Drosophila melanogaster: one gene and its partner. The protein of the gene in region 1 interacts with the protein of each later gene in a pairwise test. Each region holds a gene or a part of one and is shown on either strand. Other genes may lie near its edges.

The links.
Region 2: the proteins of CG5504 (region 1) and CG4036 interact in a two-hybrid assay, tested with the Drosophila melanogaster proteins (one large-scale study listed by BioGRID).

Annotation. Positions count from the first base shown.
Region 1 is NT_033778.4:23,705,381-23,709,297, forward strand, and holds CG5504 (uncharacterized protein), read left to right. Parts: upstream 1-1,700; 5' UTR 1,701-1,773; coding exon 1,774-3,107; coding exon of another isoform or gene 3,108-3,111; exon of another isoform or gene 3,112-3,205; intron 3,206-3,249; coding exon 3,250-3,478; 3' UTR 3,479-3,646; downstream 3,647-3,917. Other genes in the region: Alg3 (ALG3, alpha-1,3- mannosyltransferase), read right to left, coding at 151-1,397. UniProt on the Drosophila melanogaster protein: Involved in hh/hedgehog signaling. May act as a tumor suppressor in larval imaginal disks.
Region 2 is NT_033779.5:9,788,676-9,792,569, forward strand, and holds CG4036 (uncharacterized protein), read left to right. Parts: upstream 1-2,206; 5' UTR 2,207-2,226; exon of another isoform or gene 2,227-2,293; 5' UTR 2,294-2,294; coding exon 2,295-3,019; intron 3,020-3,079; coding exon 3,080-3,269; 3' UTR 3,270-3,283; downstream 3,284-3,894. Other genes in the region: CG13123 (uncharacterized protein), read right to left, coding at 3,307-3,894.

The DNA of each region.
Region 1 (3,917 bases):
CCGAATAAAAGTAACTCCATTTTAAAGCTGCCTTGATTGATTCTCTAAAAACTAACTCGTTTAATGTACTGTTTATTCAATTTTTTTTTTGGCATAATCAAAACGGTTTATATGTGGCACTCATGGCTAACAAGTGGCACTCAGACCATTTTACTGCAGCTTTTTCTGTTGCTCCTGCTGCTCCCTCTTGGCCGCATTATTAATCCGCATGGTCTGGACAAGCTGCTTGGCCACCCCAGCGAGCAGTATGATGTGGGTGAAGTGAAGGGCAGCGCTGGAGAAGTTCGTACTGGGATAGGTGTTCCAGCAGTACTCAATCAGTCCGAGGATCAGGCAGCGCACGCCCAGCGAGTACGGCGTCGACCAGGCCAAATAGGGTAGCGAGTGGAAGTACCAGACGTAGAACTGATAGTGCAAGGATCGGGAGCAGGCCACGCCCACCAGGTTGCACAGGAAGAACGGCAGCAGGGCCAGCTGGGTGCAGCGATCGAAGTGGATGCCATAGCGTTCCGGTTCCGCCTGTGCGGGTGCCGGAGTGGCCTTTCCTCCAGACGCCTTCTGCAGGCTCTTCTCGAAGGCCTTCAGGAAGGATTGCTGCTCGGTTGTAAACTTCTTCTGGTCCTTGTCCTTGTCCTTTTCCACTTTCTTTGGTCTTTTCTGCGCGTTCAGCTCGAGGTTCTGCTGGGCTATTTGCGGCTGCAGCTGATCCTCAATACGGCGCAGGCGCACGTAGCTCTGGAAAAAGGTCCAAGTGGGCTTGGCGAAGGCCAGCAGGAGCAGCAGATGCAGGCCCAAAAGCGAAACGTGGAAGGTGCGGTTCTCGAACAGATCTCTGCTCAGGAAGCGATAGTTGACCGTCCACTTGTGCTCGAAGATGCGTCCCAAATCAAAGCTGCCCCGCAGATACTCCACAGGATGGGTGAGCAGGAAAGGAGCGCCCAGCAGCAGTTGTATCACTCCGCAGACAGCCAGCTGCAGGATCGTCCGCAGAAGTCCCAGGTTGGCCAAGTAGAACAGCAAGAGCGCAGGCGCAAACAGCAGGATGTTCATCTTAACGCCCACCGCCAAGCTGAAGAAGGTGCTACCCAGGGTCCACCTTCTGTCCAGGAACAAATTGAGTGCGGCATAGAGGAGCAGCACTGCCACCGGATCGTTGAACAGTCGCAGCACGTATATCGAGTGGATCCGATACGACGTGAAGGCACTGAGCACTAGCACATACGGCGGCACCTTTCTGCTCTTCGAGTACAGCCTCAGCACCAGGGCCAGCTGGAGCAGGTAGATCCCGGCGAAGATGTACTGCGCCAGGCGAACGTTCGTTCCGTGGGACGTGACGTAGTAGAGAGCCGAGTAGATGTACACGAAGGCGGCTGGATACACAAGAGGTCCTGTGTCGCCTAGGAAATCGAAAATCGAAGAATTTCAATTATCATAAATTAGATAGAAGGAATGCAATTAGTCATTGTTTTCATTCACTAAGCAGTTATTTCAGTCTGTTTGGGCCTGGGAAAACTATTATATCCATTGAGTTACACTTCATATTTATTTTAAAGGCAAAACTTTAGTTAACTTATTTAATATACGGCTTTTTTAACTTTAACGGTATATAACGATATTTCATTCGCTTTCACGCCGGTTGGTATTTTCGCTCGCTACGCACGCGGTCACATTGAGCAAGTGCGAGTGAGAGAGAGAGAGACAGACATTCGTAGGACAGCATGGATGTTACGGCATGTTGTTGAAAAGCTGAAAATCTGATACTTTTATGGAAAAATGATGATTTCGTGTAAAAAATTATTCGTGTTCCGGCAGCTGCCGGCGGTGCGCCGTTGCCTAGCGGCAGCCGCGTTCTCCACGCCACGCGCGACCTCCTACCGAATCCTCTCCAGCGCCGGGAGCGGAAGTACCCGGGCAGACGCACCCCAAGTGCGCCGCCTGCACACCACGCGCGACCTCCTGGCCAAGGACTACTACGCCACGCTGGGCGTTGCCAAGAACGCCAACGGCAAGGACATCAAGAAAGCCTACTACCAGCTGGCCAAGAAGTACCATCCGGACACGAACAAGGAGGATCCGGATGCGGGCCGCAAGTTCCAGGAGGTCTCCGAGGCCTACGAAGTGCTCAGCGACGAGCAGAAGCGCCGTGAGTACGACACCTATGGCCAGACGGCGGAAAACATTGGTCGCCAGGGCGGCGGATTCCCTGGCGGAGGAGCCGGTGGCTTTGGCCCCGAGGGTTTCTCGCAGAGCTGGCAGTTCCGCTCGAGCATCGACCCCGAGGAGCTCTTCCGCAAGATCTTCGGCGAGGGCAACTTTCGAACGAACTCGTTCGACGACTTCGCCGACTCCAAGTTCGGATTCGGCCAGGCCCAGGAGATGGTCATGGACCTGACCTTTGCCCAGGCGGCGCGCGGCGTTAACAAGGATGTCAACGTCAACGTGGTGGACCAGTGCCCCAAGTGCGCCGGCACCAAGTGCGAGCCGGGCACCAAGCCAGGTCGCTGTCAGTACTGCAACGGCACCGGCTTCGAAACGGTGTCCACTGGGCCCTTCGTAATGCGCTCCACTTGCCGCTACTGCCAGGGCACGCGGCAGCACATTAAGTATCCGTGCAGCGAGTGCGAGGGCAAGGGCCGCACGGTCCAGCGCCGCAAGGTCACCGTGCCGGTGCCGGCTGGCATTGAGAACGGGCAAACGGTGCGAATGCAGGTGGGCAGCAAGGAGCTGTTCGTCACGTTCCGCGTGGAGCGGAGCGACTACTTCCGGCGCGAGGGCGCCGATGTGCACACGGACGCGGCCATATCCCTGGCCCAGGCGGTGCTGGGCGGCACTGTGCGTGTCCAGGGCGTATACGAGGATCAGTGGATCAACGTGGAGCCGGGCACCTCGTCGCACCACAAGATCATGCTGCGCGGCAAGGGTCTGAAACGCGTGAATGCCCACGGACACGGCGATCATTACGTGCACGTCAAGATCACGGTGCCATCGGCAAAGAAGCTGGACAAGAAGCGACTGGCTCTGATCGAGGCGTACGCCGAGCTGGAGGAGGACACCCCCGGGCAGATCCACGGAATCGCGAATCGCAAAGACGGCAGTAAGCAAGCAACGTAAATAATCTCCCGATCTACCAATGCAATCTCTAAATGTAACTTGGAGCTTGAATTCGTAGTTGAAATATACGTGCGTTCTATGTGCGAGCTTTATTAAATGATGGCGTCTTTCTCTCCCCTTCCCCATCTCTCGTTGCAGCGCAGGAGCGAGTGAGGAGCCAGGAGCGGGAGCAGCTGCTAAAGCCAGTGCAGCAGCCGCCGGATCAGGAGCCTCCAAGCCAGGACCAGGAGCAGAAAAAAGCGAAGGCAAAGACCAGTGGACGGACAACGAGAAAACCAAAGCGAAAGAAGGCGGCGGATCCGGATCCGGACAAGGCGACGGCGGAGGCGGAGGCTTCATAAGCAAGATCAAGTCCATGTTCAACTGACAGGCGTTGGCAACCCGATGGCCGATTCTGTTTTTTTAGTGTCTAAGTTAACGCACGTTATTGTTGCTAATCTAAGTTCGGGCGGGAACCGGGGGAGTGTATTCCAAATACGACTCGGTTCGAGATGAATAAACCAAATTGACCGTCAGTCGGGCAAGTTCTGCGTTTAAGCGAGGCTAACTTCACTTGTCTTAATCTCACGCTGCTCCGATTTTCAGTTGCCTAAAGTTCGTGCCGCATTTGATGTCGTCCAACTCCCCAAATCTCTGTGTTTAACCTTTGATGGTAACTGTGTTCAAACATTTGAACCATATGTCAAACTACTCTCCTCGATTTTGAAAATACTTCAAACTTTAAAGTAACTGAAATATCAATTTTATAAGAATTCCAACTAAAAAAGAGCATAAACTATATAGCTAGTTGGAAATAGGCTATCCCC
Region 2 (3,894 bases), on another chromosome or scaffold:
AGTTCAAATAGAATTGAAAATCTATTCTTATGTAACAATTAAGAATGACTGCCTAAATTGAAAATATATTAACGAATAAACATTTATGCTTTGTGAAACTCTCTTACCTTAGCCAAAAACTCCTCATACTCGAATAATTGCAACGTTGCAGCTATGTAAATCGCACCAAATGTGAAGATGGCCAAGGTACGTGGTCGACCGACCGCCGGCACCAAGAAAGCCAACGCTTCAACCGACTCAGAGAAGCAAAGGGAGGTGGAAAAATGATTTATCATGTAGCCACCAAGGAGGGCGAAATGTTCAAGATCAGATGGAAAACTATGGGCCAAAGGATGATTCCTGAGAGCCAAGCAAGAATCTGGCTTGCGATGCACTAATCGAAATGTAACTCAGAAGAACGTTGATGTTAAGGAGCTGCGCGAATTGACTAAGATCGTCAAGGCCAGGATTGCCGACATATTGACCACCAATAATGGGGAAAAAATCGTTGTAGAGGATTCGGATGATGATGATAGTGATTCCAATGTGGACGCAAGGCTAGGGCTCGTCAAACGGCAGAAGATAGCGATGACCTGCCCTCCATCTCCAAAGCTTGGCTCACCCTGGTCCATACAAAACTATTAGGCAGAGGCTGAAAAGCAGGGATAGTAAATTTAACCCGGAAGAGTGGGCAATAAATAAGTCAACATACTTTGGCAAAGGTATGCGCAGCACCATTTCCTCAAAAGTTGCAAATTGGTCATCTGTCAGTAGAGGCGCCAATAGTTCATCTTCGTAGCTGGCCACCAAGTCCAAGTTGTACTTGCCCGGTTGTTGAACTTCGTAGGGCATCAAAGAGAGCACTGATTCGCCGAGGCAGCTCTTTGCTACCTGAAAGTCCTGTTCGCAGCTCAAGCAGGTGCGCACGCCCATACAACCGCAACTATGAATTGTATTCATCCTAAAATTGCGTAAAAACACATTAACAACAGTTTATTCGTGGTAAAATACCAATCATACCATCAATGTTATGTAAATGCTGGCCAGAATTTCGAAGAATGAACTGAGGGTTATATATCTGTGTGCTTTGATTTTTCTAATTTAATCTAATATAATCTATATAATAATAATCTCACCTGGGGTTGTACTGATTTGTCATTCTCCATTTCTGCATCGTCATCGGACTCCGAATCCATTTCAGCAGCATTCTTGCCATTTCTAACGGATAAAGTCGGAGCCATGCTCAGCTTGCTTCTTTATCGGCACTAGGGTCCACATCGGAGTCATTAGCATTATCATCCGAATCCACTACAAGGATTTTTTGCCATTATTGGGGGTCGAAGTGATGGCATTCCTGGCTTCAAGAATCTTATTCAATTCGCGTAGGCCCTTGACCTTCTGCTGAGTTATTTTTTGATTAATGCATAGCAAGCCAAATTCTTGCTTGAATCCCGGGAATCATCATTTGATCCATAGTTTCCCGTCTTATATTGAACATTCCGCCCTACTTGGAGGCAACATAATCAATAACGTATTCCACTTCCTCTTGCTATTTTTGGGTTGGTTAAAGAGTTGGCTTTCTTGGTACGGTCGGTCGACCACATATCTTGGCCACCCTTTACATTTGGAGCGGTCTTCGGTTTAGCTGCAACCTTCTGCAAAGCAGCGAAGATGAGAAAGTTTAAGTTAATTGTCCTATAAACTAATGAATTTGAAAGTATGAGGAATTATTGGCTAAGGTAACCGCCATATAACGAAATTAATTTCGACTTATAAACATTTTCTCATCAGAGTTTCACATTGTAATGTCTTATAAGCATGGACTATGCATGGAGCATGCTGCTATCGAACTAAAAAACGCGTGGTGGTGGAGCCCAGTGGCAGCCAGACCATCTACAGTACATGGGCGTAAGCTCCCGGTAGTAAAGTAACGCGGTAGAGTGGGCGATAATTCAACTTACTTTGGCTTAGGTATGCTCAGCACTGCACCTGCAAGCTGAAGGTTGATGAAAGGGATTCGGAGTCCGATGACGATGCAAAAATAGAGGATGACAACCCGTGGTGAGACAAAGCGAAAAATCCGAGCATACTAGACCGAATTAGGTATTATTCTCCGAAATTTTGGTCGGTATTTACCAAAGCATTAATTCTATGATTGGTATTTTATTACGATTATTTTCGAAATTCTGGTCGGTATTTACCAAACATTAATTCTATGATTGGTATTTTATTACGATACCGAAGCCGGTATATTTGGAACATCCGGTAACACTGGCAGTCTGTTTGTAATTAACGTGCTTTTGCCCAATTTCAGGATGAATACAATTCGTCCTTGCGGTTGTAAGGGCGTTCGCACCTGCTTGAGCTGCGAACAGGACTTTCATATAGCGAAGACCTCGCTACGGGAACAATTCCAGCAACTGGAAGCATGGTCCTACTGTATCCAGTGCGACCTTCTGCAGCGCGGTTGGGATACCAATCATGTCCAAAAGGATCATGAAAATCACAAAAAAGATGAGGGCCTCCCACTGCCGGGCATCCTGGTGCAGGAGGAATTCCTTAGCGTTGATGAGGGCGCCCAACTTATAGCCGACTTGGATGACCTGCCATGGGACATCTCGCAGAGCGGCAGGCGAAAACAGAACTTCGGACCCAAGACCAACTTTAAAAAGCGCAAACTGCGGCTGGGATCCTTTGCCGGATTCCCCAGGACAACGGAATATGTGCAACGGCGCTTCGAAGACGTTCCCCTGCTTCGTGGCTTTCAGACCATCGAACAGTGCTCCCTGGAGTACGAGCCCAGCAAAGGAGCCAGCATAGATCCGCACGTGGACGATTGCTGGATCTGGGGCGAGCGTGTGGTCACTGTCAACTGCCTCGGCGACTCAGTGCTCACTTTGACGCCCTACGAAGTTCAACAATCGGGCAAGTACAACTTGGACTTGGTTGCCAGCTACGAAGATGAACTATTGGCGCCTCTACTGACAGATGACCAACTTGCAACTTTTGAGGGAAAGGTGCTGCGCATACCTATGCCAAAGTAAGTTTACTTATTTATTGCCTTCTCTTCCGGGTTAAATTTACTATCCCTGCTTTTCAGCCTCTCCTTGATAGTTTTGTATGGGCCAGCGAGGTACCAGTTTGAGCATTCTGTACTACGCGAGGATGTCCAAGAGCGCCGCGTTTGTGTAGCCTACCGGGAGTTTACGCCCATGTACATCAATGGCGTAGACATCCAAAAGGGAGATCCTGTCCGAGAAAAGTCTCAGATATTCTGGCAAATAAACTAGCAAACAAGACCAATGTAACTATGTAATATAATCTTTATTATGAGCGCGGATTATCCCGATCCTGACTGGCTGGCCTGTAATCCAGCAGTGCCACCTGTGCGGGCAGCTGAACTCCATGAATTTTCTTTAAGTGAGCCCTCAGATTGCTACTGGTACTAAAGTTGTTGGAGCAGACAACGCACTGGTGATGCGGATGCTTCTGCCGAATATGCTCATTGAGATCGCGAACCTTGGCGAAGGCGGTGGTGCAGTACTTGCAGACGTGCGAATTGCGCACGTGGGTTTTCAGATATTGAGGCGAGGCATAAGCCAGTGGGCAGTACTGGCACTTGTAGATGGCCTGGCTGCCACTGGGCTCCACGTCCAGCAGGCGATTGGCCTCGTTGTACTCGTCCAGGTTGTAGTGTTTCAGTTCGACGGCAGCATAGTCCACGGTGCGCATCTCGTATGCTGGGGATTCCAGTTGCTCCAGCTGAGAGTCGGATAGATCCAGTCGTGGTTGGGCTGTGGTGGCAGGTAAAAACTCGGAGACAATCAGCGAATCTTGGTTGGCCAGCCTTTGAGAGGGTTTCGTACAGCTATCCGTCCTTCTCCTCGTTTGTCTTGTTTCTGTAGGACGATCGGG